Mus musculus: one gene and its partners. The protein of the gene in region 3 purifies or fractionates together with the protein of the main gene of each other region. This does not show direct contact. Links are inferred from orthologs where the notes say so. Each region holds a gene or a part of one and is shown on either strand. Other genes may lie near its edges.

The links.
Region 1: the proteins of Axin2 (region 3) and Ctnnb1 purify together in Homo sapiens (affinity purification with western blotting; 4 studies listed by BioGRID and IntAct, with this or other methods). This does not show direct contact. The link is inferred for Mus musculus from reciprocal best matches to the Homo sapiens genes AXIN2 and CTNNB1.
Region 2: the proteins of Axin2 (region 3) and Gsk3b purify together in Homo sapiens (affinity purification with mass spectrometry; 9 studies listed by BioGRID and IntAct, with this or other methods). This does not show direct contact. The link is inferred for Mus musculus from reciprocal best matches to the Homo sapiens genes AXIN2 and GSK3B.

The regions. Positions count from the first base shown.
Region 1 is NC_000075.6:120,932,053-120,936,199, forward strand, and holds the start of Ctnnb1 (catenin beta-1), read left to right. Parts: upstream 1-1,347; 5' UTR 1,348-1,586; intron 1,587-4,147. UniProt on the Homo sapiens protein: Key downstream component of the canonical Wnt signaling pathway.
Region 2 is NC_000082.6:38,087,496-38,091,800, reverse strand, and holds the start of Gsk3b (glycogen synthase kinase-3 beta), read right to left. Parts: upstream 2,801-4,305; 5' UTR 1,276-2,800; coding exon 1,188-1,275; intron 1-1,187. UniProt on the Homo sapiens protein: Constitutively active protein kinase that acts as a negative regulator in the hormonal control of glucose homeostasis, Wnt signaling and regulation of transcription factors and microtubules, by phosphorylating and inactivating glycogen synthase (GYS1 or GYS2), EIF2B, CTNNB1/beta-catenin, APC, AXIN1, DPYSL2/CRMP2, JUN, NFATC1/NFATC, MAPT/TAU and MACF1.
Region 3 is NC_000077.6:108,944,346-108,947,817, forward strand, and holds part of Axin2 (axin-2), read left to right. Parts: intron 1-164; coding exon 165-260; intron 261-1,534; coding exon 1,535-1,702; intron 1,703-3,472. UniProt on the Homo sapiens protein: Inhibitor of the Wnt signaling pathway. Down-regulates beta-catenin. Probably facilitate the phosphorylation of beta-catenin and APC by GSK3B.

The sequences.
Region 1 (4,147 bases), on a different chromosome or scaffold from region 3:
CACAGAAAAAGAAGCAAGTGTCAAAAAGAAAAAAAAAAGAAAAAGAAAAGAAAGGAACCCCCCCCCCCCCCAAAAAAAAAAAGAAAAAGAAAAGAAAAGAAAGGAAACCCCGGACAGAGGTGAAGTCAGCTATCTAATTTTAAACGAATCGACCAAATATTCTTTAACTCTGCATGTGACAATTAAAATTAGGGGTTGGTAGCTGCAACCACCACTGGTAGGGCTTTGGTAAAATACCTTTTCCTGCTCTATCTCTCTGAGTTATGGCAGGCCAAGTCAGCCCCAGCCAGCAGCAGAGTTTACTCTCCGGAAATCCGAGCAGAGCTGCAGAGGGGAAAGGTCTAGACAAAGGCCCTCACTGAGCAGCTCCAGCATGGTGGACTGTGGTGGTTCACAGAGTTACGGTGATATGTCTTTAAGATAGAAAATTGAGTCATTTAAAAACTAAGCTGGCCCTACAGCACCGGCCCTGCCTCAGTGATGCATGGGCTTCCTGCCAGTACCTGTACATAAGGACCTATTGTTTACTTGCGTTAATTACAGCGCTGGGATGAAAGAAGGCAGTGGGGCAACTTTCCCTGTTGCCATTGTTTGGGAAGAGACGTGAGCTCAGAATAATAGGCTGGAGACAGCCAATTCACCCCAACTGCTCCAGTTTTGACAAGTGCCAATCGTGAAGGACAACAATGGGGCCATTTCCAAGAGAAGATCCAACTTCACCCTATTGTCATGATTTGGGGGGGGGGGAGCTCTCGAAGGATACAAAATTAGTTTTGAAAATTTAAGAGGTTACCCACAGGTCCTCTCAGCAACACACTCGAGTTTCTCAAACAATACAGAAAAATCGCTGTCCTTGGTCCCCACGCCTGGTTCTACTGACCCAGTGAGTCTGGGTAAGATGGGGTTTCTAGGAATCACGCTGGTGAACGCAGTGGTGGAGCTGAATCACTTGTTAATAGATGTTCGCAGACACTCTTGGGGACTCCAAGGCCTCCTGGGGTGGGGAGGAAAGGTGGCTGGGCCCCAGGTTCCCTGTCCGGATTCCAGAGGCACAGCGGGAAGGGAAGCGGGACACTCCTGGGAGCGGTAAAGTGTGGTGGGGTCCAATGGTGGTTCAGGGGTGTGGCGGCCGGTGCACCGGTGATGGCAGCCTCGAACCTGCGCCGTCCGAGGCCGCACTCCACCCGGCCCGCGGCGGCGGCCCGCTCTCGATTCCTTTAGTTTCCAATGGAGCGGCGTCTGGACGCCCCGCCCCGGCTCGGCCCCTCCCGGCGGCGCACGCGCAGAGCGACTCGGACTGGCGGGGACTACTTTCCCCGGCCCGCCCGCGCCCCGCCCCTCGTCCTCGCGCGGCGGAACGCTCCGCGCGGAGCGGCAGCGGCAGGATACACGGTGCCGCGCCGCTTATAAATCGCTCCTTGTGCGGCGCCATCTTAAGCCCTCGCTCGGTGGCGGCCGCGTCAGCTCGTGTCCTGTGAAGCCCGCGGCCCGGGGAGGCGGAGACGGAGCACGGTGGGCGCCGAGCCGTCAGTGCAGGAGGCCGAGGCCGAGCGGGCGGCCGCGAGTGAGCAGCGCGCGGGCCTGAGGTGCGGCGCCGCGGCGGGCCGGCTCGCGCCGCGCCAGCGGGAAACTTCGCGGGCCGGGTGGCGGCGGGAGGCCGCGGGGACGCGCGGGCTGGGGCCGGGGCCGGGCGGGCGCGCGCCGGGAGCCCGGATGGACGGCTGGCCGCCGTGGGGGGTGGGGACCGCGGTTCGCGTCCGGGCTGGGGCCGCCGCGGGGGCGGGGTGGGCGGGGGCCTCGCCTCCGTGGCCCGCGGAGCCGGGGGGACGCGAGACCTGGCGCTCGTCCCCTCTGTCCCTCGTGGAGCACGCACAGACAAATTTTTTTTTCTCCCTGCAACGACCTGACTGTGAGTTTGAATCCAAACAACTTTAAGCCGTGGAGTCGCCAAACTTGGATGCAGCGGGCGGGATGCGTCAGGAGCGTGTTCTCGGAGGGTGGCTTCTTGGACTCGCGTGGGGTTGGTGGCTGCGGGGCCGAGGTCCTGGCGGGAATTTGGGACCGTGGACGAGTCACCGGCCACTCCTGGTGTTGGAGGCGGGGGGGGGGGGAGGTGCGCGGGATCCGAAACCTGGGCTTGGGGGAGGGGGACTTGCCCTTAGCCAGTAAGTGTGGGGTCCGCTCCAAGTGTTTCTCCCCAGCGCGTTTGCTTTCTGAGCGAGACGGAGTGGCCGGAGCGCGGACCGCCAGGGCGTGGGAGCCTGGCGACTTGTTCTGAGTGTTGTTTGGGGGACCAGACTTGGAACCGACGCTCCCAAGTTCGGTACCCCAGGCCCGCTCCGGTGAGCCCGCTGGCTGCGGGGCAGCTTTGTCTCGGGCTCGGGTCTCCAGACATCTGTGGGCTCCCCTCCCCCGCGCCCCCCGCAGCCCCCCTCCCGGGGCCTGAGCTCTGAATGGAGAGCGGCTGGGCTGCTGGTATGCGGAGGTCGGCGAGAGGAAATCGAGGAGTGGTTTTAGTGAAACGAGAGCTTTGTGCCATGAATAATGGTGGCTTAGACCAGACAGCAAGCTGAGGAGACGGCAGCTTTGCCTTTGATAAAGTCTGCCTCATGTTTTTCACATGGCCAAGTTGTGAAGCGTTTTGTCTGGGATTTAGGAAGCCATTTCGCTATTTACTTGAGGTTTGCAGATGTCTCAGTGCAGTCTCTCCTCGTCCCGGGAAAGAGCTTGCTTTCTTGGTTCTAATTTAATGTTGCTTAAGCTTGTGGCCTTTGTATTTCGGTTTTGTATGTCCGGCTCAAACTTTGAGTTAAGGCCCGCAGTTACATTTAGTTCACTTTCACCTTAAACATTCAGAAATCCCCGAAATTAAAATGAAGTGCCTCCAAGGTTTGTTTGAGAACGCCCTTTCACAGCGGACAACATTGTTGATGGTACTGGGGATAGTCATTCTGTGACCTACCTAACCTTTGTCCTCAAGGCCGAGTCTGGACAAGGCCTTTAGTGGTGGCAAGGAAGTTGGAAACTTGCAGATGTTTCTCTACAACAAACCCTCCCAGGCTGAAGTCCTTAATTAAGGAAGCAGGCTATCTGGAAAGCTTAGCTTGCCTGGGACAGAGTCCTGGGCCTCACAGTCTGTAAAAAGACTATCTTCAGATAGGGAAACATTTAATCGAATGCAGGCGTGAAGAAATAGAGTTTAACTGTCATGTGATCATTTCTCATAGTCTAGAGCAGTGCTTCTCAGTCAGTCTTCCTGATGTTGTGACCTGTTAAAATAGTTTCTCAACTGTTATGGTGACCCCAACCGTAAAACTTTCCTTGCTACTTCACAACTGACTTTGCTACTGTTGTGAACCATAATGTAAATGTTTTCCCACGGTCTTAGGTGACCCCTGTGAAAGGGTTGTTGAACCCCCAGATTGAGAACACTAGTTTAGAGACTGTATATTGGGTATCTATGTCTCCAGCTTGAAGGGAAGTATCTACTGCTGTAGTGACGATGGGACTAGAGACTGTGAGTGAAGCCTTAGCTCACGAGTCTCAGAATCCCAGAATCCCACCGCCAAGGTGGAGGATGGGGAACTTTCTTAGTCGGAGTGTATTTTGAAATGTGTGCTCAGGAAAACTGGTGGAGCCCTTTTGCAAATAAACTCAGGGCAGAGCATGGACAAGAGCCTGTGCACACTGCAGGTGGCGAGTGGAGTGGAGTGGTATATTTACAGTCGTTTGTTGCTGTACTTCTAAGCAGGAAGTGGACAGTGAAAGTAGATGGAGTCAACTGAAATATCAGTGCTGAGGTGAGGTGAGGTGAGGCCAGGTCGTGGTCTCTGCCCATCACCTAGTGGTAAATTTTTAGTGTCCTTGGCCAGAAGCAAACCCGAGGGACAAACTCCTGAAACGGTGTTCACAAACTCGTAAAAACCTTGCAAACGTACAAACATTTTAACTCCATTTTCTTTTGTTGTTTTGTGGCCCCTGTCAACTCCTTTTTATTTAAAACAATCTCACTGAAGACATCTTCATGCCACAGAGAGTAAAGTAGATGAGCAGCTACAGTTCTGAGGCCTGTGGAGGCAGCCTCTGTCCTGAGAGGACGCAGCTTGAGGAATGTTAGGCAGCCCTGCGATGCTTGCTCTTCAGCAAC
Region 2 (4,305 bases), on a different chromosome or scaffold from region 3:
CCTCTCAGCAACAAAACAGTTTTATCTGTGTCCTCCCTCTTCTTTCTCATCGAATAAGGAAAACAACATGGATATTTTGGCCAGAATCTGCAACTATGTTCTAATAAGCTGTCATGAAATACCACATAAACATCTCCACAAATAGATACATTTGAACACTGGATACTCAGTATACCAAACACTTCAAGAACACAAGACTCTTTTTTTTCAGCACAGATTCCCCGGGAAAGACTGACAGATACTGACACATTTTAAATTATCCTAAAAGGGTATCCTCTTGTACTCTTAAAAATAATAATAATAATAATAACAAGTAATAAATGCAATGCCACCTCAAAATTAAACTTAAATGAGGAGTCAGTGACAACACTTAACTTAGTTTGTGGCAAAATGACAATACAACCTCAATCAAAAGTTGAATCTCCTTCCAAGTTACCTTTTGATTAAACAAATTATATGGTGGCAGATTGGTAATGTCAAAACAGGAAGGTTAAGAGATAACACATTAAACCACTTGAAAACAATGCACTTAGAGATGCGACTGCTGCGGGATATTTATCAGCTTCCACCACCCCTAGACGAGTGAGGGATGGATGCTAGCTTGCCTCCAACGGCAATGTGGGTTACCAAGCAAGTTCATCCCCAGATTCAAAAATACTTTGTGTAGTCACACGGGCAAATAGGAAATATTAGGAGGCTGGGGCATTTAATATCTCTATTTTGAATACAGAACCCTGATAACCTGAGCTAACTAAGATAAACTCCCTCATTCCAGAAGACAAGGACTCGGCAAATGTACATCATGGTTTATTAATCAAGCCTTGTCCTCCTCTTCTTTATTCAAAGGGATGGGCAAGCGAACGCTTCTTCCATCGCTTAACCCGGAGGCACTGGAGCACTTGAAAAGACTACCAGCAGCACGGAGAACGTAAGAAAAGAAGTTTCAAATCCAATCAGGCAAATAAAACTAATATTCTCTCAATCCAAGGTTAATGAGGCGGGGGGAGGGGGTACGGGAATGGGAGGAGGAAAAGGAGCCTGCCTCTTCTTGACTCAAGGCTGGTTTTGCCCTTTTCCACGACCACTGACTGTTCTATCAGGTCTGTTAGTGTAAGATCCTGGTATTTCGAGGTTTCTTATCTAAATGGTAAGGTGGAGGAAGGGTGTAAAATAAAATCGATACTCACTGCTAACTTTCATGCTACCAAAAGCTGAAGGCTGCTGCACTGGCTTGCAGCTCTCCGCAAAGGAGGTGGTTCTCGGTCGCCCCGACATGATGGCTCTTCTTGAATCACCTTTTCCTTCCTTAATCCTTTTCTTCCTTTTGTTTTATGTTAGGGTGCTAGGTTAATGATAAATGCAGCATTAAGTTCTCCCGCAAGAAAGAGAAAGAAAGACTTCGTTCTCTTGGCTTTTCACTCCTTTTGTATAGCTATTTAAGAAGAAGGAAAAAAAAAAGGAGCTATGTATTTCTTCAAGACAGATCGGTACGGATATTTAACACATAGATGATTTAGAGCTGGGAGAAAAATACAATTCTTTCACCTCCCTTTCCTGGAAGAGGAGAAAAAGGGTGGAGTGGAATCCTTAAAAATATATATATATCACGTGAACGAGGGCAAATACTTGATTGAAAATAAGTACTCTGAGTATTATATTTTTCCTCGGGGATTTTTTTCCGAGTCAATGAAGAAGGGAAGCGGCGGAAGGATCACGAGCCTCACGCTTGAAGAGAAGGGGGATGGGAAGGAGGGAGGAGATGGCTCGGAGATGCGACGGCAAACGCTGCGGCTCCGGCAGCAGCGGGATCCGGCGGTCTGACGGCGGCGGCGGCCGGGTGAACCGGAGGGCAGCGCAGTCGCGAGTCAGCGGCGGGCGGTGGCGGCGGCTCCTCTCCTCATTGCGCCAGGAGCAGCTGCAGGCGGTGGCTGGATCCAGCGGCCATGGCGGCAGCGGCGGCGGAGGCAGCTCCCTTCAGACCCCAGGCAGCGGCTCCCTGACTGCTCCCCATACGCCGGGGACATGGGAACCAGGCAACCGCTTCCGTCCCTCGGGGTCCCCTCCCCCGTCCGTGGCCCCGGCACGGCCGGCCTCCGCCCCTCGCCTTTGCTCAGCGGCTGCTCGGGAAGTGTCCGCGCTGTGCCCGGAGCCCGAAGCCCTGTCAGCGGCTGCAAGGCCGGCTCCTCCTTGCTGCCTTCCTTCCTTTGTCACTCGGCCCAGGCGGCGGCGACGGCGGCGACACAAGCCCGCATTCGGCCGGGTCGGGGGCTGCTCTGTGCGAGGCGCGCCGTCTGCGCAGCCGCCTAGCCCTTCCCCACTCCCCCTCCCCCTTCCTACTCGTCCTCCGCCTCCTTCCTCCCCCACCCAGCCCTTACACCGCCCAGCGCCCCGCCGCCCGCGTTACAGGCGTCTGGGAATCGCTCGCCGAGCCCGCGCCCGCCAGCTTCGGCTGTAGAGCCGAAACCCAAGCCGGAACCAATCAGAGACGTCGCTTGCTTGCAGCTCCTGCCGGAAAAAGCCGAGCGACCTGGATAACCAATGAGGAGACGCCGCTGGGAGACCACGCCCCAGCAACGAGGAATGCCGAAGGTAGCCGAACAGAAGGGAAGAGGGTTCTCCTTGTCCTGTGGCTGGCTAGAGAGAAGAGTCGACAATAGCGACAGTGGCCAATCAGAGCTGTTGGCCCTCAGGGAAAAGCCTCAAGAGTTAAGGACGGCGAAACTCCCGAGTCGCGGGAGGAACTGCACGGCTGGGCGCCGCGCCCGTTTCCTCATTGGCTGGACAACTCCGCTGGGCGTGTACCTTTCTCGGTGATTGGTGAAGGGAAGGGGGCTTCCGAGGACATCGGGCCAGTCAGAGCCTCCCCTCCCTCTTTGAGGCGGGGAGAAGAAGAAAGCGGAGGGAGGGCACCTATAAAGTGCCATCTCATTGGTCTGCAGCGTCGAGCTGGAGCGCGGGGGGAGGGGAGCTTCGAAAGGGAGAAGGAGGGTGCAGGAGCCCGTGGCGGCGGCCAATAGGCGCTCACTGCTGTGCAATCGCAAGACCTAGCTGCAGTGGGATTGGCCTCGGGTGGTCCCTAAGCGGGCGGACGGGATGAGTGGTCGGCCTGCATCTGCTTTCCGAGCCGACGCTCGTGCTGGCTGTGCAGCCCGGTCCGACAATGCTGCGGTCGGAGGGTCGGGCCCCGAGCGCTCTAGTGGGGCGTGAGGCCGTCCCCATTCCCGGGAGCTCCGCGGGGCGCGGCTTACCAAGTGCGCCCGAGGCTCCCCACCGCGCGTGCTGAGCCTATGAGAACGTCTATTCTCTGAAAGACGTAGGGCGCCGTGGCCGGGGCCGAACCCTCTAGCGCTTAAATGGGAACAAAGCTTCCAGAGAAGGAGAGCCTCTGGGCAGCCGCGCCCGCCCATCGCGGGGGGCCGCTGATCTCGTGGGGGGGGGGGGGGGAGCCCTTTGCAGCAGGCGCACAAGGCCAGACCAGGCCTTCTGGAAACGCCCCCGAGAGATGAGCTCATGCTAGATGAGCGCGGTCCATGGGCGCGACTGTCCAGCGCAAAAGCAGCCCCGAAAACAGGTGAGGGGAAATGTGGTCAGGACAGTACCTCGAATCCTAGGAGGAAGCTCAAGTCAGAATTGCTCGCAGCAGTTTTTAGTGTTATTGGATGATCAGCACACTGCTGCCTAAGTAGGTTTCACATGTAGTCCAGCGTCCATTGTTCTACAAAGGAGACCATTGCCTTGGTCCATCCGAGAGCTGTGTGGCGTGGCTACTACGACTAGAGTAAGTTAGAGTGGACACTGGCAATCCTGACTGTAATCCCGTGATACTTGTAATACCCACCCGCATAGTCATCTCTTTCTGTTGAGATGCTATCTCCAGAAAGCACATGTAAAAGTACACGTACTTGATCAGATTGCTTAGCTATTGCTTTAAAATCTGATGAGGGACTTGGGACAGAACAAAGTAAGCTTTGAAGGGAGCCAGTAAAGGTCTGGATAGTGTTTGCAGACTCAGATGTCTGTAGAGGCCTGGCAAATAAAGCGAATGACACCGGCCTGGTGGAAGACAATAGGAATGTTAGATGATGTGGAAACGGGAGTTCCATCCATGCCCTTAAGGGGGTCCACCATTAAAATAATCGTATTCTCCTTTTTTTTTTTTTTTAATTACCAAAACCATAACGTTGAAGTTTTATGTGTGATCTCTAAATCTGACGTGTTGGCAACCGATATGCCGAAACCACGTAGACCAACAAAGTAAAAAATCCCAGGAAAATGTGCCCGACAGGCAGCCAATTTGTAATCTCA
Region 3 (3,472 bases):
TTCTAGAATGTCCGCGAACACAAGGTCTTGTGGGGTCTCTGCGGGGAGGGAGGTTGGGTTGGGTCTACATCTGTTGAAGAAGCCAGAGTGGTTTTTCTCTGCTCCCCAGTTGGCATGAGCATGAGAGCTTACCTCTTAAATTCTTCACCCTCCTCCACCCTCAGGTGCTGCGTGGCCAGTCAGCAGAGGGACAGGAACCACTCGGCTGCTGGTCAGGCAGGAGCCTCACCCTTCGCCAACCCAAGCCTGGCTCCAGAAGAGTGAGTGTCTCTCTGACATTGCTGGGATCCTTACTCTGTGTGGTTGTACGGTTCAGGAAGTGTCACCATCTGGAGTGATGTGTGTGTGGAACTCCATATCTGAACCTACCTTTGTGTCCACACTTAGTGAAGGGCAACACTAAAGGCGAATGTTGCCAGCAGTGAGGGTCACGGGACATCAGCTCCCAAGAATTCAGTGATGACACCGGGTTTCTGGGGGTCTCAGTCGTCAAAAGTTGGGCACGAAGCCATTGTCAGAAAGGTAGAGTGCCTGAATCTGGATGCACAAGCTACTTTGTAGGTTTTGGGAGCTAGCAAGTCTGGACAGGTGTTTGCATCACCCCCTGAGCAGGAAAATGATTCTCAGATTGCCCGGAAGTCTGCCTCCACGATCCGCGTGGAGAAATGTAAAACCTTGTCTCGAACTGGCTCACCCATTTACTCAGGACTCTGAACCCTGTCTTGTCTACAGGATTTCAAATCTGCCTGAGTTATAGAATGTGATCTAGATAAAGTTTTCTTAGCATCATCACCCCAAGCCATGACTAATGTTTGAGGTCCTGAGTAAACACCTTCCTAGACCCTTTCCTTGTTTTAATTGGTGAACCTCAAGTCTACCAACTCTCAACACTGGTGGCTTTTATAAAAGCCACTCACTCCAAAATAAAGTAAATGGCACCATTAAAATGACAGGAGTGCGGGGCTGTAAGAGAGTTGGTAGAGTGCTTGCCTGCCATCGACTGTGCAGCGAGCCTTGGGCTAGCTCCCTGGCACCACAGAAATGGAGGTGGAGGCCGTGTGAGTGAACATCTGTAATCCCTAGCTCTCTGAGGTGCAGGAAGACGGTCATCTCTGACTGCACAGCAAGTTTGGGGCCAGGGATATGTGAGAAGAGACAGGCTGTTCACCTGTAATGTGGGTCTGTGGGAATGATGGATAGGCCTCCGAGGGCATGATGGGTAGACCTCCAAGGGCATTTGAGCGCACACTGTTCATGAGGAACCCTGACCTGGGATTGCCTCCATGGCATTCTCTGGTCTTTACCGGTGGGCACCTGGTTATGCTTGCGATGGAAGGCATTGGGGAATATAGTATCAGCTTACCAGAAGACAACCACCGCTTGCTTCCCTCATGCTCTGCAGCTCTCTTTGGAGGTTGTTCCCTTGGTAATTCGAGGCCCCAGGCCTCCTTTGTAGACAACCTCATGTTGCGTAGGAGTCGGTGTGTATCTGCTTTGCGAGGCTGAGTCTGTGGCATCCTGATGTCTTTTTCAGTCACAAAGAGCCAAAGAAACTGGCAAGTGTCCACGCGCTCCAGGCCAGTGAGCTGGTTGTCACCTACTTTTTCTGTGGAGAAGAAATTCCATACAGGAGGATGCTGAAGGCTCAAAGCTTGACCCTGGGCCACTTCAAGGAGCAGCTCAGCAAAAAGGGAAATTACAGGTGAGGGTCCTGCCCGTCCCGCCGCCTCGTCTGCTCTGGAGTTTGCTCAGAACTCAGAGGATCCAGGCCCCCGAGCATCTTGCTCTCTGCAGGCCTCGGATGGATTGGAGACACACTGTTCAGAAGCTGCCTGAGTGGGCTGCTGGGTGGCTAGGGTCCGTCTGTCTGTCCGTTAGTGCCCCCCCCCCCCCCACGCTCATGCTCTCGTCACCTCTAATATGAACAGCCATGAGGGAAAGCTGATGAGAGGGTATGGTTCTCTGGAGATCTAGCCAGGTCCAAGTGAACAAGACTGAGGACCAAAGACACAGCCCTTCGTTTATTTAACCATGAGAGCAGGGCTGGACTATGTGGTAGGGGCTCTGCCAGAAATCAGAGACTCCTTCCCTGATAAGGGAGGGCAGAGTCAGCCGGGCGTGGTGGCGCACGCCTTTAATCCCAGCACTTGGGAGGCAGAGGCAGGCAGATTTCTGAGTTCGAGGCCAGCCTGGTCTACAAGGTGAGTTCCAGGACAGCCAGGGCTACAGAGAAACCCTGTCTCAAAAACAAAACAAAAAACAAAAAAAAAAAGGGAGGGCAGAGTCAGAGGCTATGCTGGAAGCTCAGAAAAGCAGAGACCAGGGCCAATGAGTCACTCAAGTTACCTATAGCAGCAATGCTTATCAGTAACTAAGAAGGGGCTATGCCTGGTCAGTCAGGAGGGTGGATAGGGCTGAGCCCCGTGTCCATCTGTCCCTCCCCTCCATGCTGGTCCTGGGCCTCACAGTCTCTCCCTGCCAGCCAGCCTCCCTGGCAGAGTACAGGGACCCTTAAAAAAGACCCACATTGACCTTGTGAGGTCCTGGAGAACCCAGAACTGAGGATGGAGGCCATCTCAGACGCGTTCGTCACCCTCCCTTCTTGCCAAGGCAGGGGATGACTTGACCCTGCCTGGAAATGTAGTGTGTGTTCTGCCTATCGTCCCAGGTATAGAGCACCAGGCTGGGACAGTGAGGCAAACAAGACGCTCAGGGCACCCTGAGGAGGTTCCCACCCAAGAAGTGTCCTCTCCCCAGTTGAGCGTCCCGGCCTCTATGTAGAGGCGCACCCCACACGTATCCCCAGAACCCAGATGTGTGAGGAGAGCGTCTGAAGGGCGCTCAACTCCAGGGTAGGCCCTGTGGGACTGCACCAACCATTCTGTCGTGGAGTTCTTATGCTGGCACCAACAGTGACCTTTCGCAGGGAGAAAGACCAAGACCCTGCAGGCGACAGCTTTCTGGGGTGGCAGGTGTGTGTCTGGGCATAAGTCATTTTCTGTTGAAGAGGCCATTCCGAAAGTTATCAAAGAGTCTGGCGAACAGGCCGGGCTGCCGCCTTTAATCTTGACAGAGACCCAGGTGAAGCTAATTACAAGAGTATGCTCCTCCAGGGATTCATTTTGATCTTGGCTTTGACTCGGCCCAACTTTGAGGAGAACCGCAGGTGACCTTCAGGGGGCGAAACTGTCACAGCGCACTATGTAGCGGCCTACAGGGAAGGGCTTCGCTCAGCCACTCTGGCCACATCTGGCTCTGATTTTTTTTCCCCCTAAGGCACATTTAATAAGCCTGGCTTTGAAGCTCTGGCCTCCCCTTTAATGCACAAAGACTTGCACAAATGGTCCCTTCTCAAATTCTTTCCTGATTGGATCAGGCTGTGGGAAGGCCCTCCCACCCTCCTTATCTCTGTAGTTGGGCTTGGTGTCCTCCTAGAGATGGGGTTCTGGGCACTAGAGTTCTGTGTCTTATC